7 linked regions of the Oryctolagus cuniculus genome follow. The protein of the gene in region 4 interacts with the protein of the main gene of each other region in a pairwise test. Links are inferred from orthologs where the notes say so. Each region holds a gene or a part of one and is shown on either strand. Other genes may lie near its edges. The genes, in order: AQP1, FBXW5, MAPKBP1, ADAMTSL4, TOP3B, SHFL and CREB5.

The links.
Region 1: the proteins of ADAMTSL4 (region 4) and AQP1 interact in a two-hybrid assay, tested with the Homo sapiens proteins (2 studies listed by BioGRID and IntAct). The link is inferred for Oryctolagus cuniculus from reciprocal best matches to the Homo sapiens genes ADAMTSL4 and AQP1.
Region 2: the proteins of ADAMTSL4 (region 4) and FBXW5 interact in binary tests that used the Homo sapiens proteins (3 or more experiments, as listed by UniProt). The two-hybrid records come from large-scale screens. The link is inferred for Oryctolagus cuniculus from reciprocal best matches to the Homo sapiens genes ADAMTSL4 and FBXW5.
Region 3: the proteins of ADAMTSL4 (region 4) and MAPKBP1 interact in binary tests that used the Homo sapiens proteins (3 or more experiments, as listed by UniProt). The two-hybrid records come from large-scale screens. The link is inferred for Oryctolagus cuniculus from reciprocal best matches to the Homo sapiens genes ADAMTSL4 and MAPKBP1.
Region 5: the proteins of ADAMTSL4 (region 4) and TOP3B interact in binary tests that used the Homo sapiens proteins (3 or more experiments, as listed by UniProt). The two-hybrid records come from large-scale screens. The link is inferred for Oryctolagus cuniculus from reciprocal best matches to the Homo sapiens genes ADAMTSL4 and TOP3B.
Region 6: the proteins of ADAMTSL4 (region 4) and SHFL interact in binary tests that used the Homo sapiens proteins (3 or more experiments, as listed by UniProt). The two-hybrid records come from large-scale screens. The link is inferred for Oryctolagus cuniculus from reciprocal best matches to the Homo sapiens genes ADAMTSL4 and SHFL.
Region 7: the proteins of ADAMTSL4 (region 4) and CREB5 interact in binary tests that used the Homo sapiens proteins (3 or more experiments, as listed by UniProt). The two-hybrid records come from large-scale screens. The link is inferred for Oryctolagus cuniculus from reciprocal best matches to the Homo sapiens genes ADAMTSL4 and CREB5.

What each region holds. Positions count from the first base shown.
Region 1 is NC_091447.1:22,131,184-22,134,683, forward strand, and holds part of AQP1 (aquaporin-1), read left to right. Parts: intron 1-3,207; coding exon 3,208-3,372; intron 3,373-3,500. UniProt on the Homo sapiens protein: Forms a water channel that facilitates the transport of water across cell membranes, playing a crucial role in water homeostasis in various tissues.
Region 2 is NC_091432.1:237,322,419-237,326,057, forward strand, and holds the end of FBXW5 (F-box/WD repeat-containing protein 5), read right to left. Parts: intron 3,414-3,639; coding exon 2,987-3,413; intron 2,910-2,986; coding exon 2,762-2,909; intron 2,682-2,761; coding exon 2,469-2,681; intron 1,149-2,468; coding exon 905-1,148; 3' UTR 501-904; downstream 1-500. UniProt on the Homo sapiens protein: Substrate recognition component of both SCF (SKP1-CUL1-F-box protein) and DCX (DDB1-CUL4-X-box) E3 ubiquitin-protein ligase complexes.
Region 3 is NC_091443.1:64,889,677-64,893,176, forward strand, and holds part of MAPKBP1 (mitogen-activated protein kinase-binding protein 1), read left to right. Parts: intron 1-251; coding exon 252-412; intron 413-1,121; coding exon 1,122-1,311; intron 1,312-1,799; coding exon 1,800-1,946; intron 1,947-2,167; coding exon 2,168-2,343; intron 2,344-3,124; coding exon 3,125-3,216; intron 3,217-3,403; coding exon 3,404-3,500. UniProt on the Homo sapiens protein: Negative regulator of NOD2 function. It down-regulates NOD2-induced processes such as activation of NF-kappa-B signaling, IL8 secretion and antibacterial response. Involved in JNK signaling pathway.
Region 4 is NC_091438.1:47,452,929-47,457,081, forward strand, and holds the start of ADAMTSL4 (ADAMTS-like protein 4), read right to left. Parts: upstream 2,801-4,153; 5' UTR 2,753-2,800; exon of another isoform or gene 589-2,752; 5' UTR 515-588; coding exon 498-514; exon of another isoform or gene 245-497; coding exon 190-244; exon of another isoform or gene 1-189. UniProt on the Homo sapiens protein: Positive regulation of apoptosis. May facilitate FBN1 microfibril biogenesis.
Region 5 is NC_091452.1:28,916,221-28,919,720, reverse strand, and holds part of TOP3B (DNA topoisomerase 3-beta-1), read right to left. Parts: intron 2,990-3,500; coding exon 2,793-2,989; intron 2,463-2,792; coding exon 2,306-2,462; intron 1,412-2,305; coding exon 1,298-1,411; intron 197-1,297; coding exon 106-196; intron 1-105. UniProt on the Homo sapiens protein: Releases the supercoiling and torsional tension of DNA introduced during the DNA replication and transcription by transiently cleaving and rejoining one strand of the DNA duplex.
Region 6 is NC_091447.1:67,206,277-67,210,566, reverse strand, and holds the start of SHFL (shiftless antiviral inhibitor of ribosomal frameshifting protein), read left to right. Parts: upstream 1-1,490; 5' UTR 1,491-1,774; coding exon 1,775-1,795; intron 1,796-2,291; coding exon 2,292-2,415; intron 2,416-2,544; coding exon 2,545-2,594; intron 2,595-3,807; coding exon 3,808-3,846; intron 3,847-3,946; coding exon 3,947-4,096; intron 4,097-4,290.
Region 7 is NC_091447.1:20,394,552-20,398,051, forward strand, and holds part of CREB5 (cyclic AMP-responsive element-binding protein 5), read left to right. Parts: intron 1-660; coding exon 661-769; intron 770-1,674; coding exon 1,675-1,838; 3' UTR 1,839-3,500. UniProt on the Homo sapiens protein: Binds to the cAMP response element and activates transcription.

The sequences.
Region 1 (3,500 bases), on a different chromosome or scaffold from region 4:
GCTGTGGGTGCCGCCATGCCACGTGCACACGGCCCCTAAGCTTCCCCACTGCCCAGTGTCGAGTCCCACAGGCACTGGGCAGGTATAGCAGGCCCCCATGCCCCCTGTGCCCTGTTCTTCGAAAGCAGATGCTCAGAGACTTGGCCAGGCCTGATTCTGGAGTCAGCTGCTCCGTAATGGTGGGTGTGAGGGTGTCCAGGCCGAGATGGGGGTCCTTCCTGGGCCTTGGAAACTCCCCTGCTTGGCCTGCCCATGGATAGCAGGGAGGGCCAGAGCCCACTTCCCAGAGAGGTCAGTCCTGGAGCCTGGGACATGCAGGCAGCCAGCTCTGCCAGCTCCCCCGTCCAAGTGGGGCACAGCCTGGTCCCTTCGCTGGGCTTAAGGGCAGCCAACATATTGGCCTGTGAGTGTAGGGCAGCGCTGACCCCAGGGCAAGGTCCTGGCTTGGCTGTCCACTCCTTGAGCTTCGGCCAGCCCATCTGCCATCACCTCCAACCCTGGCATAGGCCTCCTGGGTGGGCCCCAGAGCCTATCGCTTGGCCATCACCTCCAGCTAGCAGGTAAACAAATGGGCCCAGCGTGCAGGGAGCCTGCCCGGAGCTGGCCTGCCCCTGGAGGGAATGAGCTCTAGACAGTTAGCATCCTCCACCACGCCCGCCTCCACTCAGCTGGCCTCTCTCCATGGAGGTTTGGACAGAGAGTTCCTAGCCTGGAGCGAGCAGGTGAGGCACCCACAGAGAGGCAGGAGGTCCCTGTGGGTGGGGCAGGGTGGGCAGAAGTCAAAGTTAGTGGGGGATGCAGGAAGGTGCAAGAGCTGGGAGGGTCTGCAGCCGCCTTGAGCAGGGGCCTGAGATGGATTCAGTGTCCAAAGCGGGAGCTGTATCTTCCTCATGCTTCCAAGATCTATGGATTTTTCTATAGCTTATACGTGCGTTCACAAAACTGTTGGTTACTTTTTCCCCTAAGACCTCAGCTGGGTCCAACTACATGGGAGCGAGCAACATTGTGTTATTCCCCAAGTACCAAGTGACTGCAATCGGGATGGGCTCTCTACCAGCACTTGTTTCACACCCAGTGATTTGTGCACAGGAGTGCTAAGTTCTGATTTTTTGCCTGCTCTTTCATGGACATCAAATTTCAACAGCTCTTCCAGGCCTCCTCCAATCCTGATGAATTTCATCCAGATCTAAGTGATGTCAGGTATTAGGAGGTTGGAGGAAGGCAGTAGATGGTGACGCAATGGGAGAGGAAGGTTGTAGCCCCCGTGGCTCTCAGCTGGCAGGAGGCGCACTTTGGGGTCCCCAGGGCAGGTGGCTGGCTTCTCTCCTCCCCGAGGGCCCAGAGCACTGGGCCCTGAACCACGACTCCCTGCTCTGCTCCCCTGCAGGAACAGGGGTGCCTTCGGAAAGGGTTGGGGCTCTCAGAGCTGGTTAAGAACCAGCGGAGGAGCTGAGCTGAGCTGGCCCGGGCCGTGGGTTGGGTGGGGAGAGTCTGAGGCAGGAGCGCCGCTTAGGGCATCAGCTCCATTAATCAGCCAGGAGGAGCTGTCACAGGACGCCGGCCAGCAAGCAATTAGCTGATCCTGGAGAGCGGAGCAGAGCGCTGGAGAAGGAGCCTCTGAGGGGCGTGGCCTCATAGGTGTGTGGAGGCTGGGCTACCCTCAACTTTGGGCCCGGCCAGCCCTGCCTCCATTCACCATCTTCACACCTCTGCGCAGGCTGGGCCCCTCCCCCACTTCTGCCCACCCCTGAATCCTGCAGATGCCATGAGAAAGAGCCAGGACAACAGCCAGCAGCGCTGCCCTGGCTCCTCCTGCCTTGGACCCCTTCCCTTACTCCTCGGACAGCTCCCGCTGCCTTTGAACCTCCTGGCTGCTCTGGACAATGGGCAGGGACAATTAAATCCATTTTGCAGATGGGAAGACTGAGGCCCAGAGAGGACCAGGCCATGCTAACAGCGCCCAACCTTGGCGCGCCAGCAGAGAACTGGGCATTGCCAGAGGGCTGGCTGGCCAGAGGGCCCAAAGCTCTGGAGCTGGGCCGCAGACAGGGGAGGGGATGTGACTCACTCCCTGTAGCCGAGTGCAGCAGACAAAGGCGGGAAGAGAATTGTTCTTATTAAGATGGCCTCAGGGTGGGGCTGGGAAAACCTCTGGAGGGGTGGGGGGTGCCCCCCACCTAGGAATCTGCAAAATGTCCCATGACCGTGAAGACGCCCCATGGCCTCAGGACTACGGCTTGTTGGGACGCAGCTGTCCTGCCGGGGGGAAGGCGGCTCGGTGGCCACATCGGTGCATCTCTGTGCTGGGCCTCTACCAAGTGGTCCAGCACCCCTGGAGATGGGTGCACGGGGCGTCGGGGGGCAGGGCTTCCTGGGGAGGGGTCTGCCTGGTGCGGCTGTGGGAGACGGGGCTCCGGTGACTTCATGGTAGCTCCCATTCCCTTCTTTTTCCATGAGTCATGTTTCTAAAAGTGGCCCAGGAGCAAGTGGCAGCCAGACGGCGGTGGCGGGGGCCTGCGTGGCCAGAGAGAGTGAGGACCAGGCCAGGCCAGCGGGGAGGGAGCGTGCAGAGAGAAGAAGAGTCAGGAACGCCAAAAGAAAACAGGAGCAAGACACTGGGCCACGGGAGACCGGGAGGGGCAGCGGAGACGGAGGGCGGAGGCAGCAGGGGGCCCTGGCACAGAGGAGACCGAGACAGAGGGAGCCGCGGGGCTAAGTGGAGCGGGCTTTCCCTAGCTTTGGGATTCGGGCATGCAGCAGGGGGTGGGTGGCATGTTCTGGACTTTGGGGGTAGGAGGCCATGCCCCCCCCCCCAAGCTGGGCCGTCCTGTTCACTCCTCCTCTTCTTCCACCAGTGCCCCCGACTCTCTCCTCCCACACCTGGGGCTCGCCCCTTGCCGATGGTTTCAGGTACCCCAGCCTGCAGGGCTGCTGTGCCCCAGGCCACTCAGATCTGCAGGCAGAGCTGGGGAGGTCTAGGCTGGCCCCGGGACCAAGCCGTAGTGTGGGAGAGGATGAGGCCGATTGTGGCCGCCTGCTGTGTGTGTCTGGACGGGGCCTCTCTGGGCACAGCAAAGGGCACAGCGCTCGTCTCTCTCTGGAGGCGCTGAGTCTGGTTCTTGGTGCCTGATCCTGGGAGGCAGGGGGACCTGGGACCCAGTCCCTGCCTGCCGTGCTCACTGGGCCTCTCTGCTCCCGTCCCCACAGCTGGCCCCTGGCGTGAACTCAGGCCAGGGCCTGGGCATCGAGATCATCGGCACCCTGCAGCTGGTGCTGTGTGTGCTGGCCACCACCGACCGCAGGCGCCGCGACCTGGGCGGCTCAGCTCCCCTTGCCATCGGCTTTTCTGTGGCCCTGGGACACCTGTTGGCGGTGAGCTGGGGGGACTTTCCCTGGTTGGGGTGGCAGTCAGGGAAAGCCTTGCCCGGGGCTGTGGGTGGGGTTATGGATGGAGCAGGTCAGCCTCAGGGGACTAGGGGACCTCCCGACCAGCTTTCTGG
Region 2 (3,639 bases), on a different chromosome or scaffold from region 4:
CTCGGCGCACCCTCCGCCACTCTCCCGGGCCACCTGCAGGGGGCTGGCGCCCAGGCCATGGAGGCCCCTGGGCTGTGTCCCGGGCTCATCTGCACAGCGCACGAGCCCCTCGTTTTAGCCCCAGCCGCCCCTCTCAGACCTGTCCCCAGCAAGGCCCGGCCCAGGATGGAGGTGCCCGCACCAGCGCCCGTGCCATGGGGAACAGCTGGGTCCCCTGTGCAGGCAGGGCACACAGTGTCCACTGCTTACCCCCGAGGCCCGGCGCCCTCCCCACCCTCCCCCTCACTACCACAAGGGGGGGCCCTCGGTGAGGGAGGGAGGCCAGGCAGGTTCCAGCTGGGCAGCCCCTCCCCCACCCTCGGCAGGAATCTCCCAGAATGCAGCTGTCCCACCAGAGCTGCCCGGATGCCGTCGGGCACAGGCCTCCTGGGTGCCAAGGAGGCAGGAGGCTGGGGACAGGGCCCGGGCTGCCCCTCCCTGCACAGAGGTGGACGTCGGTGGGCTGTTGGCAACTGTTTATTCTGAGCCCTGGGCCAGTGGCCAGCAGACAGGCCCCTGGGCCCCCAGCACCGCCGGTACAAACCAAGTCACCAGGGCGGGAGCCTGTCCGCTGGGCCGAGGCGTGGGGACTGTCCTGAGTGGCCGGGCTTGGGGCCGTGTGCACCCGCAGCCCGGGGGAGGGAGTGGGTGAGGAGTGAGGCCTCCAGTGTCCTGTGCACGCCGTGCTGGCCCCGCGGCCAGTGTGGGGCCGCCGCATGCAGCGCGGGCCACGTGAGGCTGTGCGAGTGCGTGCGGGGGCCGGGCCGGCCCCTCCTGAGGATCCCTGCTACAAGCAAAGCCACCCCACGCGGGGAGCACCCACGGGGCCCCGGCAGTGTCCCCGCGGCTCGAGCCAGGTCGGCCCTCAGCGCCTGTGGCAGCCGAACCAGGAGAAGAAGGGGCGGGGGCGCAGGCGCGGGGCCTGCAGGAGGCGCACGGTGCGCGGCGAGCGCCAGGCCTTGATGGTGGCGTCGTCGCTGGCGGTCAGCAGCAGCTCCTGCTCCCGCGGGCTGAAGACCACCGAGTTGACCACGTCCTCGTGCCGCAGCTTGGCCAGGCAGATGTTGTAGTGCCGGTCCCAGATGTAGCCGTGCCGGTCCTCGGCCCCGCTGTGGGCCCGCACCGGGATGAGGCTGCTGCCCGCCCCTGTTCTGCCGCCCGGCGCCCCGCCCCACGGAGCACGGCCCCCCCAGGTTCCACCCTGTCCCACCGCACCCAGCCCCGCCTCGCCCCGGCCCCGCCCGGAGCCCCGCGCCACGGAGGATGGCCCCCAGGTTCCACCCTGTCCCCGACCCCGCCTCGCCTCCCCCGGCCCCGCCCCACGGAGGCCGGCCCCCAGGTTCCACCCTGTCCCTGACCCCGCCCCGCCCCGCCCCACGCCACGCCCCACGGAGGCCGGCCCCCAGGTTCCACCCTGTCCCTGACCCCGCCTCGCCTCCCCCGGCCCCGCCCCACAGAGGCCGGCCCCCAGGTTCCACTCTGCCCCTGACCCCGCCTCGCCTCGCCCCGGCCCCGCCCCACAGAGGCCGGCCCCCGGTTCCACCCTGTCCCTGACCCCGCCTCGCCTCCCCCGGCCCCGCCCCACAGAGGCCGGCCCCCAGGTTCCACTCTGCCCCTGACCCCGCCTCGCCTCGCCCCGGCCCCGCCCCACAGAGGCCGGCCCCCGGTTCCACCCTGTCCCTGACCCCGCCTCGCCTCCCCCGGCCCCGCCCCACAGAGGCCGGCCCCCAGGTTCCACCCTGTCCCTGACCCCGCCTCGCCCTGGCCCCGCCCCGGCCCACAGGCCGGCCCCCAGGTTCCACTCTGTCCCTGACCCCGCCCCGCCACGCCCCGGCCCCGCCCCACAGAGGCCGGCCCCCAGGTTCCACCCTGTCCCTGACCCCGCCTCGCCTCGCCCCGGCCCCGCCCCACGGAGGCCGGCCCCCAGGTTCCACCCTGTCCCTGACCCCGCCTCGCCTCGCCCCGGCCCCGCCCCACGCCCCGCCCCAGAGGCCGGCCCCCAGGTTCCACCCTGTCCCTGACCCCGCCTCGCCTCGCCCCGGCCCCGCCCCACGGAGGCCGGCCCCCAGGTTCCACCCTGTCCCTGACCCCGCCCCGCCCCGCCCCACGCCACGCCCCACGGAGGCCGGCCCCCAGGTTCCACCCTGTCCCTGACCCCGCCCCGCCCCGCCCCACGCCACGCCCCACGGAGGCCGGCCCCCAGGTTCCACCCTGTCCCCGACCCTGCCTCGCCTCCCCCGGCCCCGCCCCACAGAGGCCGGCCCCCAGGTTCCACCCTGTCCCTGACCCCGCCTCGCCTCGCCCCGGCCCCGCCCCACAGAGGCCGGCCCCCAGGTTCCACCCTGTCCCTGACCCCGCCTCGCCTCGCCCCGGCCCCGCCCCACGCCCCGCCCCAGAGGCCGGCCCCCGGGTGCCGCCCCGCCCCGCACCTGGCCACGAAGTCCCGGCTGACGTCCAGGAAGATGAAGAAGCACTCGTCGTTGGGCGTGTAGGCGCGGTGCGCGCGCAGCGCCCGCTTCACCTCGCGCATGGTCTTGAGGTCGAACACCAGCAGGTCGATCTCCTCGGCGATGGGGGGCGGCTGCATGGGGTCGGCCACCACCGAGCCGCGGGGCCAGGCGCGGCTGTTGACGTACAGGTACCTGCGGCGGGGCGGGCGCTCAGCGCGGGACACGCCCCCACCTCTCCCCCGCCCCCGCCCCCCACCGCCGGGCGGGCGCACCTGTTGTCGGGCGACAGGCCCATGCCCACGATGTGTCCGTGCACGTCGATGACGTGGTCCAGCGCGTCGAAAAAGGCGTCGGAGCCGCGGCCCTCGCCCAGCACGGGGCCCGCCGTGGTCATCTGGTGCGGCAGGATCTGCTTGATGCCTGCGGGGGGCCGGCGTGAGGGGCTGCAGGCCCCAGCCCACCCGCCCGGGTGCCCTGCCCCGCGCGCCCTGCCCTACCGATCTGGTGCGGCGAGTAGGTGAGGCAGCCCGTGGTGAAGATGAGGTACTTGTTCCTGGCGTCGGCGGGGGCCAGCTCGGGGGGCTTGGTGTGGCCCTGGGCCAGCAGCTCGGCCACCCGCGTCTCCAGCACGCGCTCGGACAGCTGCGCCTGCGTGTCCAGCGCGCCGTCCGGGAAGCGCCGCGAGCCCCTGGGCCGGGGCGGGGCGGGCGCCGGGGCCGGCCCGTCCGAGTCGCTGTCGGGGTCGGAGTCGCCGCCCAGGTCGAAGACGCGGCAGGGCGCGGCCGGGCCGCCGGCGTCCAGCAGCAGGTCGGGGCTGTCGAAGCGGGAGCAGTCGGCCACCATGACGGTGCGGATGGTGCTGGCGCTGAGGTTCTGGATCTTGAAGAGCCGCTTCACCACGTTCACGTTCTCCGACTCCACGTCCTGGGCGGGCGAGCCGGGGGGCGGGGGCGGGGCGAGCCGGTGGGCGGGGGCGGGGGCGGGCGAGCCGGTGGGCGGGGGCGGGGGCGGGCGAGCCGGGGGGCGGGGGCGGGGGCGGGCGAGCCGGGGGGCGGGGGCGGGGGCGGGCGAGCCGGTGGGCGGGGGCGGGGGCGGGCGAGCCGGGGGGCGGGGGCGGGGGGCGGGCGAGCCGGTGGGCGGGGGCGGGGGC
Region 3 (3,500 bases), on a different chromosome or scaffold from region 4:
CCTAAGAAGGGCCCCTGATTCCCATCCCCCAACTGCACAGCACTGCGGCCCACCGGCCACCTGCTGCTGGAGGGAGGGCATCTCTAGATGACAATGCAGGGCTCAGAGCAGAGCAGCTGGGCTGATTTCCCCTCAGCCCTGCCTTGGCCGCTCTTTCCTCTTGGCCGCCGACTGTTGGTGGGGGGCTGGGGAGGAGATAGAAGCCTGAGTGGGCCGGTGGCCCCTGCTGAGCTCAGCTGCTCTGCCCACAGACCACAGTGGCCCACTGTATCTCCGTGAGCCAAGACTACATCTTCTGTGGCTGTGCCGATGGCACCGTGCGCCTCTTCAACCCCTCAAACCTGCACTTCCTCAGCACCCTACCCCGGCCACATGCCCTGGGGACAGACATTGCCAGCGTCACTGAGGCCAGGTGAGCTATGGGGGCCCCTGTCTCCATTCACAGCCTTGCCCAGTGCTCAGCCTCCTTGGCAGCGCTTTACCAGAAACACCTCTGTAGGCAAACACGTATACTTAGTGCAACCAAGGAGACTGCATATGGTGGAGGACCCGGGAATGTCAGGAAGTAGGTGTCCAGAGGGACTTAGTGGGTTTTGGGCTTGCAGGAGATGATGTTAGGAGTGCTTCAAAGGATTGAAGTTGTGTTCTGGTTGGATGCTGTCAGGAAGTAGACACACTTGCCCAGTTGGGTATCTTGATAGAGCCTGCCCAAGAAGTGGGAGGAAGGCTGTCATGCTGTAAAGAAACAGCCATCAGTCGTGTTAGATGAGGAAGGGCGATGTTCGGTCATTTTTGTGGTTTGTGTGGGGATCTGGTTTCATCTGTGTGCAGACATACTTGCAGAACAGTCTTGTTTTTGTTTTGCCCATGCTGACTGCAGAATTACCTTGTCTGCTGCTGCTGTTCTGTGGGTGTTTGCATTCATCACAAGAACACTTGGCCCCCATGGCCAGTGTTTGGCCAGCTCCCTGCTCCTGGAAGTTGAAATCCTTTTTCAGGCATCTACTTCCAAAGCTACAGCTCTAGTCAGGGCTCCCCACACCCTGCTCATCGCTTTGGGGGTTGGTTTCTCTCTTCATTCCCTTGGGTCTCACCAGTTTGCCCTGTCCTTTCCCCCACAGTCGCCTCTTCTCTGGAGTGGCCAATGCCAGGTATCCAGACACCATTGCCTTGACCTTTGATCCTACAAATCAGTGGCTGTCTTGTGTGTACAACGACCACAGCATTTATGTTTGGGATGTGAGGGACCCCAAGAAAGTGGGCAAGGTGTACTCAGCCCTGTATCACTCCTCCTGCGTGTGGAGTGTAGAGGTACGTGGGCTGGGCTGGCGGGCCGGGTGGAGATTGATCAGTTCTGCTGGGATAACTGTTGTGATGGCAAGAAGTGGGGATCCCAGGTGTCACTTTATGTTCCTGCTATCTCTCACTTTGGCAACATCTCTGTGATGGGTCCTGCGGATTGAGCATGAATTTTAGTGCTGCTGCATCTCCGGCATTTTCTAGTGTGCCCTATCTTTAGTTTCGCCTTCTCTGGGCTTGGTGATCTTGCACAAGTCATTGAACTTGACTGAGCCTCAGTTCCTTCAGCTGTAAAATGATGATCTGATTCACCTAACTGTTCTAAGAATAAAGTAAAATAAAGAAAGTGGGAGACATAGAAGAGTGCCTGGGGCATAGTGATGCCTGGTTAGCATGCTTTCCCTTAGTACTTATGATGAGTGTGTAGCAGTTATATCTACATTCTCTCTTTTCTTCAATTCCCTTCCTCTTCCTTACATGTATACCCCGTGCCCCTGCAGGTCTACCCTGAGGTGAAGGACAGTAACCAGGCCTGCCTGCCTCCCAGTTCCTTTATTACCTGTTCCTCAGACAACACCATCCGCTTGTGGAACACGGAGAGCTCTGGGGTGCATGGCTCCACGCTGCACCGAAACATCCTCAGCAATGTGAGCGCACAGGCCCTGGATCCCCACTCCGTACTTAGGACCTCCAGCCCCATAGCTTTTGTACCTCGATTTCGGGCCCTGGCTCCCCAGACCTGATCTCCCAGCCCTTACTCTGCTGGGCTCTGTGAGCCAAGGGTGTGTCTTGCCCAGCATTCGCCTCTCCCTTGCAGCTGTACCATGTGGAGTATGCCTTATCCACCTCTTCTGACCTGTTCCACTAGGACCTCATTAAGATCATCTATGTGGACGGGAACACGCAGGCCCTGCTGGACACTGAGCTGCCTGGAGGAGACAAAGCTGATGGCTCTCTCATGGATCCCCGTGTGGGCATCCGCTCGGTGTGCATCAGCCCTAATGGACAGCATCTGGCTTCAGGGGATCGAATGGGCACACTCAGGTAATGCCGGGCCTGAAGTGGGTGCTGCCTGCCTCCCGGGTGCAGGCTGGGCTAGTCAGGTCCTCAAGAGCAAAGCTCTATGGAAGCTTGTCTCAAAAAGGCTGGGGAACAATATGTTTGTAATCTACAAGGGGAAGATAGTGATTTTGCTGTGAAGAACCTTGACAGAGAGCATCCTGACCAAGTGATCAAGGTTAACATCCTCATATCAACAACGTGAAGCCCGTAACACAGTGTCCTAAGAAGTTTAGAACATGGTTTCTGTGGTAAACTTGCCAAAAATATATAAACCCAATCCAAACTGAGAAAGCATTGGGCAAACCCAAATTGAGGTGTGTACAACAGAGTAACTGGCCAATATTCTTCAAAACTGTTAAGGTTGTGAGAGGTAAGGAAAGGCTGAGGAACTGTTGCAGATTATAGGAGATTAAGAAGAAGTAGTAGCTAAACGTAGTCTGGACTCTGAATAGGATCCTGAATCAAGAAAGAGGACATAGTCAAAACAAAACAAAAACAAAAACTGGTGACATTTGAATCATCAGGTCTTTAATTAATAATTTGTGCTAACATAGATTTGCTGATTTGGATATGAAGTTATGAAAGATGTTAACATTATGGGAAGCTGGGTAATGGGAGTATAGAAATTATACCCTTTTTGCAACTTTTCTCTGGGCTGTAAAGTTCAAACACAGTTTAGAAAAAAAAAGGGGGGAGAGGAAGGCTGTGAGCCCCTCCGCCTGTGGGGTAATGGTGATCTCCCCTCATCATCTCCTCTTTGCAGGGTGCATGAGCTTCAGTCGCTGAGTGAGATGCTGAAGGTGGAAGCCCATGACTCAGAGATTCTGTGCCTGGAATACTCTAAGCCAGACACAGGTGAGGGTGCCAGAGCTCCTCCAGTCCTGCCAGGGCCACTTACTTCCATCTTGGCACTTGGGTGTCTTTGCATCCCTGCTCTATGGTTCATGGGACATGAGGCTCAGTTCCCTTGGTGCTCTTTGTTGGGCTCGGCTACGGATCCACTCAGGGCATTTGTGGGCTGATGGAGTTCTTCTAACCCCAGGTCTGAAGCTGCTAGCGTCGGCAAGCCGGGACCGGCTGATCCACGTGCTGGACGCTGGGCGGGAGTATAGCCTACAGCAGACGCTGGATGAGCACTC
Region 4 (4,153 bases):
CTTGATGGTGTTTGACAGGGAGCCAGGGGGTCGGTGGGGGGTGGGGGATGCTAGGTGGGCCGAGTAGGAGTGAGAAGGACGTGGCTCTGAGGCTGGGGGACATGGAGATGGCCTGGCGAGGTCGGGCATGCGACCAGGGACAGGAGGCTGCCAGGCAGGCAAGCAGGGCCGCTCTTATCCAGGGCTCACCTGATCCAGGCAGAGCTGAGGAAGGGACAGAAGCAGCATCAGACACAGCCGGGGCCTGCAAACCACAACCAAAGGCAGGAGGGGCCGTCAGAACCGTCAGAACCGAGTCAGGGCAGGCGTTGCGACACTGCCCCTCCCCGCCCCCCAACACCCACAGGCTCCCATATCCTGACCACCGAGGTCTTGGAAAGCAGAAGTCACCACTTCCCCCAGCCCTCCCAGGGGTCCTTTTCCCGCGCCCTAGGGCCGAGGCCACCCCTCCCTCCCCCCGGGGTCCCCCCATCCCATCCAGGTGGCCCCCCTCTTACCAGCCTGCCCACTTCATCTCTCACCCCTGGCAAGGGAGGAGGGGCCTGGAGGTGCACACTACTCAGGCATCAGGGCGTGGAGGGGTACGCTCTGCGGGAACACAAGCCTGGCGTTTACCTCCCAGCCCCCAGGAAACAGGGAGGCCGGGAGGGAGGGCGCCCCCACCTTCCTTCGGGATGTTTAGGGGCTGCTGCCCTGGCCGCGGGCTAGGGCTGGAGGGTGGGGGTCTGACCTCAGCCTCCCGACTCAAGCTAGGCTCAGGCCCCTCCCCCTTGGCCCTTGCAGGAACTTCTCAGCCCCTCCCTAAGTCCCCTCTAGGGGCAGTTCCTAAGCCAACATCCTCAGATGGGTCCCTCTGGCCCCACTCCTCCCTCCTGGAAAGCTGAGGGAGGCTCAGGTGAGCACGGGCCGGACGCCGCACCTCACCCTGACAAGTCCCATGAGCTTTCCGAGAACGAGCCCCTTCCCAAGCCATCTCTGCATCCTTCCTGCCTCCCAGCCTTGTCTTCCCTTCTTAGCTAAGCTCCTTAGGAACAGTCAGGCACAGCTCGGCCTGCCTCAGACACTTTTTGGCCAAGGGATAAACTGAGTGGGTTGGTGGTTTAATCTCTATAAAGAAGAAGCAGGTGACTCAACCTCCCCTCTAGGCACCAGCACCCCTCCGGCTTGAGGCTTGCTTTGTGCACAGCCGGGAAGGCTGCAGGGACCTAAGCAAGGACAGGTGCAGAACTGCCCCTGCTCCCGCAGAGCCGGGAAGTCCATCCTGCAGTCTAGCCTGCTCTCAGCCTGACTCTCCCTGCCCCTGCAGGCCCCCCCAACACCTTCTGACTTTGAGCCCTTCCTGCCCCCACTCCTAATCCTGCTCTTAGTTCTGCTTTCCAGGAAAAAAAAAAAAAAACCCAACCCTGTTTCTGTTGGATCTGAAAGGCACCCGGGAGAGGGTTCCAAGGAGCCATTGCGAGGTGGGCCGGCTCAGGGGCAGCAGAAGCACCATGGGGAGAGCAGGAATGTGCCGGGGGTGGCAGCCCGCGGCCCTGTTCCCCTCCCTGAAACCCGGAGTGGGCAGGGTCCCCCTGCTGCTCGGGGCTGGGGAGGGGCTGCTGATGGCCCTGGCTGAACTGACCACTGAGGTCAGCCACCCCGCCCTGCTGGGCGCCGGGAGGCGGGGGCCCATGTTCTACGCAGACCTTCAGCCCCAGGCCTGTGGATGAGGCTGAGGGGAGGAGAGGTGGGTGGGGGTCACGCAGGGGCCCCCTCCACGCCCGCTCTGCCTCTGCTTCTCTCTGCCGGTCTCCCCAGTACATATAATCCTGTCCCGAGCGGGGCTTGGCTTCGGCAGTTCCCTGGAGAAGTGAGGGGTGGGGGTGACGTGAGCTCCCGGGGCGCGGGCCAGGCCTGGCTCCCTCTCTGGAAAAGTCCCACCCTGCCCTCCCCTGCACAGCTGGGCAGGGGGCCGATACCCCCTCCTCTGCGAAACAGACACACATTTGTGCTTTTTCACCCTTTGCACGCCCCTCTTCTGGTGTCTCGCTGCCCTGGGTAAGGAAAGAAAGCAGAAGGGGTCACTCCAGTGCCAGGCTGGATCCTGATCTGGAAAAACCTGGGCACCTCCTGGTCACACCTCCTCACGCTGGCCAGTGAAGATCAAAGAACAGACCTGCAGGGCCGGCCCCCTCACGAGGCAGGAGTCACTGAGAGGGGAGGGGCTGGCGGTGGACAGCCCCTGTCCTGGGTCAGAATCTCTTGCTCCCACCCGGCCCTCAACCCTGGGTCCTGGGGGAACCATCGCAACAGGTGTCTCTCTTTTCCGTCAACCTCTTTCGCCATCAGGCTGAGCGGCATCAAGGCGCCCATCTGCATCCCTCCCAGCGACCTTATTCCCAACTGCGGGAGTGAGGGGGTGTCAGGAAGGACACGTCCTCCGAGAGCAGCAAGGGCAGGAGGCGAGCGCGCCTGCAGGGAGGTCTTGGGTATGTTTTCCAACTTCACTATGTGACTTAGTAGGAATCTTGGCTCATTCCCCGCGCGGGTGATGGAGCCAGAGTTACACGGGATCAGACCCCCTCCCCAGGAATTCGACCCCAGGGGTTAGAAGATCTTCCGAGACCATCAGCGCCGGGGCCGGGGTCCCGGCGGGGGCGCGACCGCGCGGAGCTGGGGCCAGGGCGGTGCGGGCTGGTGCGCGGGCCGGGTGGTCTAACGGGACCCAGTGGGCAGGGGGCGGCCGGGGCCGGGGCTTGGGGAGGGTCTCTACCTGCTCGGCGCGCCCCCGGCGGCACGGTGGCCCTTCTGCGCCCCGGCGCTCCCTCGGGGCAGCCTTGCTCTGCGGCGGCCACTCCAGCCCCTGAGCCCGGCTCCGGACGCTGCCGCCTCCGGCCGCGGCTCCGCCCCGCGCCCCGCCCCGCCGGCGCCCCGCCCCCCCGGCCGCCGAGCGCCCCTGCCCGCGGTCCCGGGGTGGGGACGGTCGACCCCACAGCCTCCGCGCGCCAGTGCCACCCACCCGGGGCTGCGTCTTGAGGCAGAAGTCGCTCCCGGGGCTCAGGACCCCAGCACCCGCTGTGCCAGCGCTGCGCCCGTCCGAGCGGGGTGACCTCGAGGGGCGGCCGGGATCCAGGTGGCGCCTGGTCCTGAGTGACCTGGGCGAGGCGCGGGCCCGGAGGGAGGCCGCACGCAGGGTGCATGCAAATGGTCCTGTGCGTCTCCCGGCCCCCGTCGGCCAGGGCGCGCTCCTGCACACAGACCAAGGTCAGTCGCGGCCGCCTCTCTGGGCCCTGGCGGCGAACCAGGTGGTTCTGGGAGCCTGGGTTTCCTCCACCATAAAGTTTTACATGCAGGGCGTAGCGGAAGGAGCGCGCGCCGGTGTATGCGTCGGGCCGGCCTGCCGCCGAATGGCAGCTCCGGCGCTGTCCGGTTCGCTCTCTGTGCTGCAGAGGCCAACCGGACGTCGGGGTCGGTGACGGACCTGGAGTCGGCTGTCCGTCCAGTTGCATCTAGAAGAACGCACCCCGACCTCGGCAGCCTTGGGGACGCTGGGGAGGAATGCGTCTTTGGAGCAGGGAAGAGAAAGGGTTTCGCGTCTTAACACTGCGTGTGCTGTTTAGATTTTTAAGCTTGAAGCGTTATCCGTGTATTATGTTAAAAAGGAAATTATGTAAAATGACTGACAGAGTAGATGATGATACATGGTCACTAGTATTTAATTTTTTAAAACGTTTTTATTTGCTACTCATGAATTGCATTTTGGTGAGTCTATTCAATGTTTTAAATTTATTTATTGGGACCTGTGTTGCGGTGTAGCTGGCGAAGCCGCCACCTCCTGAGACACTGGCATCCCATTTGTGGAAGATGGCCTGAGTGTTTGGACCCCCGCTGCCCACATGGGAGACCCAGCCTGGTTCAGCCTTGGCCTGTGTGGCCATCTGGATGGAAGATCTCTGTCTCTCTTCCACTCTCTGTAACTGACTTTCAAATAAATAAATAAATAAATATGTTTTCCAAGTTGTATGTGTTTGAGAGAGTGTATTCCCACCCACTGGCTCACTCTCCAGATGCCAGCCTCTGCCAGAGCCGAGGCTGAATTGAAGACTGGGCACACAGTCCAGACCTCCAAAATGGGTCCTCAGGGACCCCACTACTTGAGCCCTCGCTGCTGCTT
Region 5 (3,500 bases), on a different chromosome or scaffold from region 4:
GCCCAGGGGTGGGGGTCAGCCCCGCCTGCACCCCTGGGGCTGAACGGAATCATCTCAGTGCATCCCAAGCAGTCTTTGGGGCCTCTAGAGAAACGCCCTACATACCCAGAGAAGAGCTGGCCACACGCAACATCTCCACGGTGTTCAGGGCCAGTGGCCTCTGCTTGGCCTTCTCCTTCCTGCTTGTGGCCTCCACCTGCAGGATGAGACGTAGGCAGTGATGCGGAGGTGGGAGGAGCCTGAAGAGAGACAATCCGAGCACGGGGCAAGGGGCCTGCTTTCCTTTGTCTCTCTGCTTCTCAAACCCCCTCTTCCCTGCAGTCTGGAGACCGGGTTCAGTGCTCGTTTGGGACCGGCAAGGGACACACAACAAGCCCTCTTTTCCAGATAATTGTCTAGGGAAGAGAAAACCCGGAGGAGTGAGCAAGAGGCAGGAAGAAGGGGCTGCAGGCATGGCTGGCAGGAAGCCAGGACTTTCACGTGACATCACACAATTGTTCAGTGTGGACAACTCTCTTGAAACTTGCAGCAACGCCACGCAAGACCGACTGGGATCCATCTGTGGGCTGTGCTGGCTGGTGAGCTCCCCCTTCCACCTCTGGAAGGCACTCATCAGAAGACAAGGCAGAAACAGTCCCAGCGACTCTGCCCAGGGCCTGGGCCTCGGCCAATCCCCGGCCACGCCGGATTCCAGGCCCACAAACGTGGGTGCTAATGCTGAGGCTGCCTGTGGATATGCAGCAGTGGAGCCCAGGGTTACGCGGGGTGATCTGGAGGCGGAGCCGGGGCCTCTGCAGGAATGCGACCCATGGGAACGCCTTCAGAAGTTCTGGAGCCTGAGAGGGCTGCATGGGTGGGCCAGCTGGCATGCGAGGAAGGGCAGGGTGGCTGAAGGTGGCCCGGCCACACCTTGATGGCTCTGGCAGCTTTCAGGGCCACGGAGCATCTGCAGAGCATGCCCTGTGCCCGTCACCCCACCCTCTTCCTGAGATTGAGTCACACACACTCTGAGCAGGAAATACAACACCATGGAGGTGCCAGGCGGATGGATCCCAGACAAGTCCCCAACTTGCCGTGTGGCCCTGGCCAAGCTCATCACAGAGGTCCCTCTGCAGCTACTAGCCCCCGAGATCACAGAGAAGGGACACCTGTGACATCTGCCCACTGGGTCACGTGGGAAGGGCCTGGCAGGTCCCAGGTGTGGACATGGGTGCCCCACAGCTGCCGCGTTGGGAGAACTATCTTAGGAGTGGATGCATGAGCCAGGGGGACAGGTGTGGGTGGGGCGGGGCCATACCTGGGCTTCCTTCTCCTGCTTTGTCATGTTTAAGAACATCTGTGCGATCTCCCGGTCGAACACTCTCACTCGGTCCCAGTCCAGAAGCAGCGACCTGTCTTTGTCGACGTTCACCTGCAGGACGGAGGACAGGAGGTGAACACATGAGGAGAAGCGGGCGGCGAGCCCAGCGCCTGGGCTGGGCCTTGTCTGGGAGCCACGCAGCCCTGGCGCTGGCGTCTGCACCTGCTCAGGTGTGCTGATCCCGGCCTGAGCCCTGGTCTCGCTCAGGGTGGGTGGGGTGGCAAGGCTGACGGTATCACATCCTTAGTAGCACCTGAGCCTCTGCCGCACACCCAGGGTCCCTGTCAGTCACAGCAGCTCCAGTGTCATGTTATAAATCCTACAGCACGCGTCTGTGGAGGGTTTTATTTGAGGAAAGCGCCCTAGGACTTCCTAAAAAAATTATTTTTGTTTATTTGAAAGGCAGAGAGACAGAGATGAGATGTCCCACCCGCCGATTTCGCTCCTCAAGTGCCTTCACAGCCGGGAGCTGGGAGCTGAAGCCAGTCTCTCAAGGGGGTGGCGGGGACACAGGTGCTTCAGCCATCACCACTGCCTTCCAGGGTGGGCATCAGCAGGATGTTGGAACTGGGAGAGAGCTGGGACCTGCACCAGCCACTCGGATATGGATATGGGACGCAGCGTTCCCAGGACTGTCTGAACTGCTACACCTGGCTTTCTAGAATTTCCAAAAAGTTTAAAAGCTCAGGGCCTTGGTCCAGTGATCAGATGTGATTTTACCCTCGATTGCCAGAGCCAGCCTTGTCCCCACTCATCCAAATTCAGCGTCCCCAGGCTCAGCCTAGCCGGGGGCACCACAGGCCCACAGTGGCACCCTTACCCCTGAGGCCTGCAGGAGGAGGATGATGGTGATGACACAAGGCTTTCAGAGTCCACCCCCCCCAAACCCAGACACACACACACACACACACACACACACACACACACACAGAGCAGAGGAGGCACCTTGGCCTGCAGCACCCAATAGGCCTCCGGCTTGAAGGACTGGATTTTGTCATGCCTCTCCACACAGAAGCCCAGCGTAGGAGTCTGGCACGGCCCAAAGGAGATGAGAGAGCTGTCCAAATCGCCGTATTTCCCCTGGAAGTACTTGGTCTGGAACCTGGGTGAGGGTGGGGTGCGAGAGAGAAGCCATTTGGTTAAGGATTTGCCTGAGACCCCACCGTGAGTGCCCCCGGGGCTGGGGTGGTGAGCGCAGGGCAACCGGAGGTGGCAGCAAGAGGCAGGGAGGAGCCCTGGGGAGGAGCCACGCGTGCACGGCTGGGAAAGCCAACAGGAACACGAAGCTGGGTCCCAGTGGGCCAGGGAGCCCTGCTAATGGGTAGCCCTGCCACACCCCCTCAGGACCCGCGTGCCAGTGGGCCCACGCCGCCTATCCAGCAGCGGCCGGCACAGTGAAAATGCCGAGGCGCAGGGCAGGCACCCAGCGCACCTGGTGAAAGCACAGCCGATGCGCAGGTCCAGCTCCTGGCGGGCGTCCACCGACAGCGCCTCGTTGTGGTCCGGCTCGCCCAGGCGGGCCATGGCGTTACAGATGTCTGTGTCTGTGATGGAGCTGAACCTGGCCCGGAACACAGTCTTCTCGCCGCCGTGGGCCTTATTCATGACGGGGACGACGGCATCAAGGACCTGGTGGGAAGCCATCCGGCTGGGATCGCCTCTGCCCCCCATCTCCTGTCCCACCCCTCAGCCGTCAGGCCCGGCTCCTTCTGGGGCCCAGCCTCAGCACGCGTGTGGCCCCCTTCAACAAGACCCCTGCCGTCTTCCTGCCTTTCCAGGAGCCTCCATCTTGCGCAGACCCCTCACCCACGGCTACATTGCCATTCACATGCCCCTCCCCACTGCCGCCCTGCAAGCTGCCCCCCACCGCTCCTCCCCCTGCTGCCAGGCACACAAGGGACCTTGCAGTCCCCAAATCCACTGGAAGCCTACTCTTAGGAGGAGGGTGTGCTGGGCGTAGGTACGTGAGACTTTGAAGAAACTGGAGAAATATAGGGCAGGAAAAAAGCCCAGCAGAGGCAAAGGCCATGGCCAGTGGGAAGGGGCCAGGTGGGCCCAGCTGCGGCTTGGGGGTGGGGGTGTGTGGGGTCCCACAGCTGAGACTAGGAGGGCTGTGCGGAGGGAGGGGACAATGTGTGAG
Region 6 (4,290 bases), on a different chromosome or scaffold from region 4:
AAGTCTTGTAAGTCAGCTAGAGATGGCTTCAACTCTACGGGAGGGTCACCATACCCCCGAGAGGAATGCCAAAAAAAAAAAAATTATTATTACAGAGGTCTTCCATCTGCTGATTCACTTCCCAGATACCTGCAGCAGCCAGGGCTGGGCCAGGCAGAAGCCAAGAGCTGGGAACTCCATCCGAGTCTCCCTCGTGGGTGACAGGGGCGTGCCTGTTGTAGGATTGATGAATCCTATGGTAGGCATATTTTTAACTTAATAATTGATTTTATTTATTTGAAAGACAGAGATCTCCCATGCGCTGGTTCCCTCCCCAAATGCCTACAACATCCAACACTGGACCAGACCAAAACCAGGAGCCAGGAGCTCCCTCCAGGTCTCCCCCAGAGGTGTTAGGAGCCCCGTGCACCTGCCATCTCCTGGTGCCTCCCAGGGTGCGCATCAGCAGGGCACTGGAGTCGGGAGCTGGGATTCAAACCCTGGCACTCGAAGATGGGATGCCAGCGTCCCAGGCGGCAGCAAAACCTCTGTGCCCAACACCGCCCTGTGTTCCAGCAGTGTCCGGAGGCCACTTCTGAGGAGGGCCACGACTCCGGTGGCATCTAGGGCATGGGGGCCGGGGACAGATCCCCATCGCAAAGAGCTACTGGCCCAAAGTGTCCGCAGCTCTGTGCAGGCGGCTGAGAAAACGCAGTTGCTTCTTTCACCTGACTCCATCCTCACCAGCTATGACCTCAAACTTCTGGGGCTCTGTCCAAGCAGGAGATGATGTCCCCAGGCCGAGGGTCCCAGCTAAAGGCTCCCCAGGCCCCTCTGCTGGGGCCCCATGGGCCCCTCAACCGCCCGATTGAGAATGCAGATTCCAAAGCAAGCATTTGGCTTGAGAGGGTTAACGGGACACATGAGAGGCCTGCATGGCATGAGCTGAACTCCTGGGCTCTGATCCAGGTCCCAGTTCCCACTATAGCACAGCCCTGGGAGGCAGCAGGTGGTGGCTCAAGCACTTGGGTCCCTGCCACCCACGTGGGAGACCCGGATTGAGATGCCTGCTCCTGGCTTCGGCCTGACCCAGGCATTTAGGGAGTCCACCAGCAAATGGGAATGCACTCTCTCTCTTTATCTCTGCCAGCCAAATAAATAAAACTTTTAAAAAATAAAATGCACATTTCTAAAGCGCCCCCCAAAAGCTGGGGCCCATCACCCTGTGTTTTTCACAAGCACCTATGGATCATTCCCATTTTACAGAGCGATAAACTGAGGATCAGAAACGTCACAGTGGCCTGTCAGGAACTCAACAGCAGGGGAGGAGGGACCCCCCCCCACAAACCCCCCCAGGTCCTAACAAGCGCCCGGTCCGTGGGAGCGCACGCGGGGAGTGGGGGGCGCGGGGACCCGCCGCTGCCTTCGGAGGCGGCCCCGCCCCCACGGGGGACGTGAAGACGCGGCCCCCGCGCAGCGTGGGGACATGTGACCGACTGCAGAGGCCGCGCCGCCTCCCCCGCCCGAGGTGCGCGCGCCCCGCCGCAGGGCGCAGACCCCGCGCGCCCGCCTGGGTTTGGGGCGCAAGTGCAGAGGCGGAGCCGGGGCGGAGCCAGCGCACCCGTTCCCCACTTCGGAACCGAAAGCGAAACACCGGGCCCGGGCAGAAGGGCGGAGCCGGCCGCGAGACCCCGCCCCCTGCCCTGCGCGGCGGCCGGACCGACGGGCGCGCCCAGCGAGGAGGGCGGCTGAGCCACGCAGTGCGGACCCTCGCGGGGACCTGCGCGCCACCACCATGTCTCAGGAAGGTGTGGAGGTAGGCGATGGCCACGGCCGCGAGCCGAGGGGCCCGCGGCAGGCGCCGAGGGGGGCCCGGGGGCGCCGAGGGGGCTCCGCAGTTCCTGGGGGACCCCCATCCGCATCCCATCCCATGCTCAGGGCGAGCGCCCGGGCCCCCTCGGAGAGGAGCGCGCCGCTCACGTCCCCCGCCTCCGGAGCGAAGCGCGGCCTCCCCCCGAGGAGAAGCGGGGGCTGCGGGGTCAGGGGTCAGACCCAGGCCTTACCTGTGCGCCCCGCCCGCAGGCTGGGACCCGCGCCCGCCATCCGCTCCCACCCCCAGACCCTGTAGGGACTTGGGGGTTGTGCAGGAAATGTCGTGGAGAGATGGTGGGAAGGGGGGAGGGGGCGGAGGCCAAAACCAAGGCTAAAGTTCAGGCCCCAGGAATGTTACCTGGAGTTGGGGGAGGGGCGGCGGCTCGTCCCTCCCCCCCCCACCGGAGCCCACCTGTCCCCCCCCCCCCCCCCCGTCCCAGTTGGAGAAGAGCGTCCGGCGCCTCCGGGAGAAGTTTCATGGGAAGGTGTCGCCCAAGAAGGCCGGGGCTCTGATGAGGAAATTCGGCAGCGACCACACCGGCGTGGGTCGCTCCATCGTGTACGGTGAGCGCGCGGGGGTCCCCGGCCGGCGCCGAGGGGGCGTGGCGCGGGAGGGCCCAGCCGCGGGAGGGTCTAGCCGCGGGAGGGTCTGGGCGGCGCAGGCCGCTCAGGGGCCCTGTCTTATCCCGCCAGGGGTAAAGCAGAAGGACGGACAGGAGCTCAGTAATGACCTGGACGCGCAGGTAACCTGTCCCCTGGCCTCCAAGGTCGGGGTACCGGGCGGGAGAGCCGGGGGGACCCTCTGGAGCGAGCAGGGCTGGCCACACACAGCACCTTCCTCAATCATCGGCTGGGCCAGGGAGCCTGCAAACAGTAGGTGCTCATTAAGTGCTGATTGTGTTCCATGGAGCGGAGCGGACGCCGCCATTGGTGCCAGGGAGCCCAGGAAGTCAGGGAAGACTCCCTGGAGGAGGTGATGCAAAGCCTTGACAGGGAGGAGTGAGCCCTGGAATGGAAAAGCAGGGGAGGGGGTGACAGGTAGCATAGGCTGGGAGAGAAGAGGGGGAACTGACCCCAGAAGAGGCGGGAAGGGGGAAGCGGCTAGGGCGTCCTTGTGTTGAACGAATGAATGAGTGATGACTGGCTTTGTGTGGGAATGGCTGGATCTCACCTACCTGGAGATAAAGTGCGCATCCTAATCTTTATAGGCATAAAGCATGTGATAGAAATAATCACAGAGGGTAATCATTGACCCGGCACTTCCCCGAGGGGCCAGGTTCCAGGAACTGACTTGTTTGATCACCACACGAGCCAGGACCCATTATTGATCAGCCCATTTTACAGACCAGTACTGAGGCACGGTGGTGAAGTCATGCTTTCTCCAGGGGCCCCGGGGGGACGAGTGGTTTGCCCACGTTCTCACAGCCGGAAGTGCCAAAGCCAGGACTTGAACCTGTGTCTGTTCAAATCCAGAGCCCCAAGCACTAGCCGAAAGCGACGGGGCCTCAAATAGGTGGCGAGCTGGTGTTTAGCGCGAGGCGGAATGCCTGGTTGGAGTCCGGCTCCGCCTCTTCCGGTCCAGCTTCCTGCCATGGGCACGCTGGGAGGCGACAGGGATGGTTGAAGAGCTTGGGCCCCTACCGCCCACATGGGAGACCCCGATGGAGCTCCAGGCTCCCTGCTTCGGCCTGGCCCAGCCCTGGCTTTTGCGGGCGTTAGGATGATCTCGGGCAAGCCCTCCCCTGCCTCTGGGCCTCAGTTTCCCCATATGAGCAATGGCGAGAACAGGTGCGCCCACCTGTCGGGGCTAACGGAATGGCTAAGGGAAGCCATGTACCTGCTCCTTGCTGGCTGTGCACCTGCTCTGAGCTCTGGGAGGCCCCTCCCCCAGCAAAGGCGGGTAAAGGGGAGACCCGAGTGCCTGCCCCAGTTTCTGCCCCTGGCGTCTCCACGCAGGACCCCCCAGAGGACATGAAGCAGGACCGAGACATCCAGGTGAGTTGGCAGCTGGGCAGGGGGACCCGTGTGGGGGTGGCGGCAGACGTGTGCAAGGCAGAGGACGGTGACCCCTGTCCCCACCCTGCCCGTCCCGCAGGCCGTGGCCACCTCCCTCCTGCCGCTGACGGAGGCCAACCTGCGCATGTTCCAGCGGGCCCAGGATGACCTAATCCCTGCCGTGGACAGGCAGTTCGCCTGTTCCTCCTGCGACCACGTCTGGTGGCGCCGTGTGCCCCAGCGGAAGGAGGTGACCGCCTAAAACTTGACCTTGGTTTCTGTCCTGAACGCCACTCCTGACCCCTGACCTCTGACCTCCGAGCTTGACCCGCATCCCACCGGCTGACCTGCAGCTGCACTTCTGACCTCCGACCCCGCTGGTTGCGAATTGAACTTGACTCCAAAGCCACAACCCTAAATGTGGCGTCCAGGTTCCCCTGGGAG
Region 7 (3,500 bases), on a different chromosome or scaffold from region 4:
CATCATGTCTTTTCATGCCTCCAGCTAAGTGGGCATCAGTCAGGTGGTAGCTTCCTTCTCAACTAAAGCCATCTGGAACTTCTTTGATGGGGGTGTGTACATTCTGATTGCATTGCACTCTGAAGGCACCAATCCTATCATACAACTCTTCCCACTGCATACGTCACAGCCTCCTCCTGGTTGGCAGGGTCAGCCAGCATTGCCAGACTTAGGAAAGCCATGTGCTAGGCATTGTTCTAAGTGTTCTGTATTCAGTTGCCTCATTCAACCCTCCCAACAAAGACTTACATCCCCCCATCATTATCAGTGAGGTTGCTGGAGTTCAGGTGGATTATGTTACCTGCGGAGTGTCACCCACTAAGTCTAGAGTGGGATTCTAACCTTCATTGTCTGGTTCCAGAGCCCAGCACTTAATGGATGTGCTGTGATTTTTGTAGGGTTCAGCTCTTGAGATCCAAGCTCGTCAGAAAGCCCTTGGTAAATGTGAGGGCCAAATTAAAGGCAAGCTGCAGATTTTCATAAGAACCTTACTAAATCATGGTCTTTAAGCCATTTGGATGTAGCAGAACAAAAAAATTTGCCGATTTGTTGAAGATGCATGGGGCTCTGGGTTTCTATTCTCTAATCTTCTCAATGTGGCTTTAATATGTCTCTTTACAGAATGAGGTGTCCATGTTGAAAAACGAGGTGGCCCAACTGAAACAGCTGTTGTTAACACACAAAGATTGTCCTATAACAGCCATGCAAAAAGAATCCCAAGGCTATCTAAGTAAGTCACCAACTTTTTTCTTTGAGTGTCCAGTGTTTTACCACTAATTCTGCCTTGAATTTTATAGAAAGAGCAAAAGTAAAGTGTAGATGGCACTCCCAGACAGATATCACACTAGAATTCTTGAGTGGCTTCCAGATTATTCCACGGGGGGTGGGGGGAATCCCTCTTTCTCATCCTTATCCAGCACCATGGCCACTACCGCCTGCTAATTTCTGGCCACACTTCCCCTGTCTTTAACATTATAAAATTCTACCCAATGTCAATGCTGTTGCCAGTGAGCAGAGAGTCTGCTGGAGACCATCTTCCAGTGACTTAGAATCTTGAGAATTCTGTGGGCTGGGAACCAGGCGGTGGGGACATTGCCTCCAGTACCCCAGGATACACCATATGCTCGTCCCTGGGCTACAAAGCTAGTGATCTGGCCTCTGTTTATCAGTGGATCCCTTTCCTTAGACCCCAATTTCTGCATCTGGAGGGTCATTCGATAAAATGCTAGTTCAGTAGGGGGTGGCGGGGAGGAGTAGGGATTTTTGACTGAAGGTCAATTTATTTTCAAATGATTTTTTAGATTGAGCAACACAGATTCTCCCACCACATGTGAGTATTTTTCCACATTTGATGTATGGTTATTGGAAAAGACAAGATGGGCTAGCTCACATACCAGGTCACAAACACATCAACCCATTTCGCTGATATAGAAAGCATGGCTTTGCTCGTAGCTCTACATTGGGAAGAGGCATAGCTTGGTGACACCAGGGTAAAGTCTTCAAATTAACTTGCAGAAGCCAATGTGGGAAACGCTTCTATTTCAAGTAAATACCTAATACCATTTTTCTGAAGAGTTTGCAAATCCACACAAGAGCGAGCTATATTGCGGTGTGTATGTGTGTGTTTTCTCCTAGGTCCAGAGAGTAGCCCTCCTCCAAGCCCTGTCCCAGCCTGCTCCCAACAGCAAGTCATCCAGCATAACACCATCACCACGTCCTCGTCGGTCAGTGAGGTCGTGGGAAGCTCCACCCTCAGTCAGCTCACCTCTCACAGAACAGACCTGAATCCCATCCTTTAAACTAATGGGCCACGCCTTGCTTCTAAGAAGACCTGTACCATACCACGCGTCCTTTCTCTTAAGGGCATTTTTAGAATTAACTCCAACCTGGAAGACTCCTCAGCCCTTCAAAGACTGGCTTTCATTTTTATAGTTACTATGGAAATGTTGTCTTTTATATTTAGTTATATAAGAAAAAAAGGGAGTTATGCAATTAATATCTATCAGCTTGGGAAATGCTTTGGTGCTTTTCTCCAATTTTCTGGTACCAGTTATTTGTTTATAAACTGAACCTTTTCTGTATATAGTCATGGTTTCATTCTTATCAGCCGAAGCCTTTGCCTGAAACAAGGAATCTTGTGAAACCACAGCTTTTAGCCAAAATGAGGCATAGCTAGGTGTCAAGTAGGACAGATCTAAGGTACCTGGGTAGGAATCTGGTGACATCCTAACTCATGTTGAGTTTGTGCTCTCTCACCAGAATCCCAGATACACACACAGCCTTCCCCTCTTTGACTAGAAACAATGTTAAGATCCATCAGTGTCCAAACGAAATCAGGAAGCATCTCAGCCCCGCTCTCCCTCCTCTTGGTCCACTTGCTCAAATACCCAGTTTTCCTCTCCATTTCCAGTTGGCCTCAGGCTTCCTGTTTGCTATTCATTTTGACTTTCCTCCTGTTTTATTGTTTTTCCCTTTAGCATTGCATGCAATGAAAATAATGTTTAAAGAAAGAAAAAGAAGCAAACCTCAAAAATGTGGACCTAGCTTTTCTTCACTTGCCTGTAACCCACAGCTGGAGTTCATTCAACTCTTGCTTTTCAAAAAATAGTAACTGGGAGATGTTTAATGTGCCTGATTTAATGTTTTTAATAATCAGAGCAAATAAAAGGTGGTTGAGTTACAGTGAAGCACTGTTAAATGCCAGCTGTGGAGACACTTGGGAGGGAATTCTATAAGCCTTGACTGTGAAAGTCCAAATTGAGATGCAAGGCTATAACATCACACCCTGGAATTACAACTGGTTTTATGTGGCCTGTCTATATTGTTGAAAATCCACGCGCTATATAATAATTCAGAAGGGCTCTATTCACTACACAGATTACACTATTCAATCATCAGCTGCTAATAGCCTAAGATTTATTATTATTATTTTTCTTAAGCCTGTGGAACTGGCTTTGCCATTCAGGTGGGTGTAAGCAAGCTGCAGAAACACAAAGAAAATCCTGCGTTTTCACTGGGTGCTATTAGCCTTCCGCGACAGTACAAGGGCCCTGTGGCTGCTGAAGGGAAGCCCCGAGTCTGGCACAGGCTGCTCCACTCCTCAACAATTCTGAGTTCTATTTCCAGTAACTTCCACAGACATAATCCATTAGCAAAAACAGATAGACCCCCAAACCACGGCCATGCCTCCTTCACACAAGCCATTGTGCTGTGCTCATGTTGTAATGTCACATCTCAAATGACAGGGGCCAAGGTTCCTCCCTAAAGTCTAGGCAGGTGCTGGTTTTCATCTCCATTGAATGCTTGATGTGTGTGTGTGTGTGCGTGTGTGTGTGTTTTACAAGAACAGTATTTTACAAAAGTATAGCTTTTATAAGGGTTCAGAAAAGGGAAGGATGTGCTTGTTTCCCTTACTACAGTGTAAGAATCTATTTTGGAGGGAAATAACAAGAAGATATGAA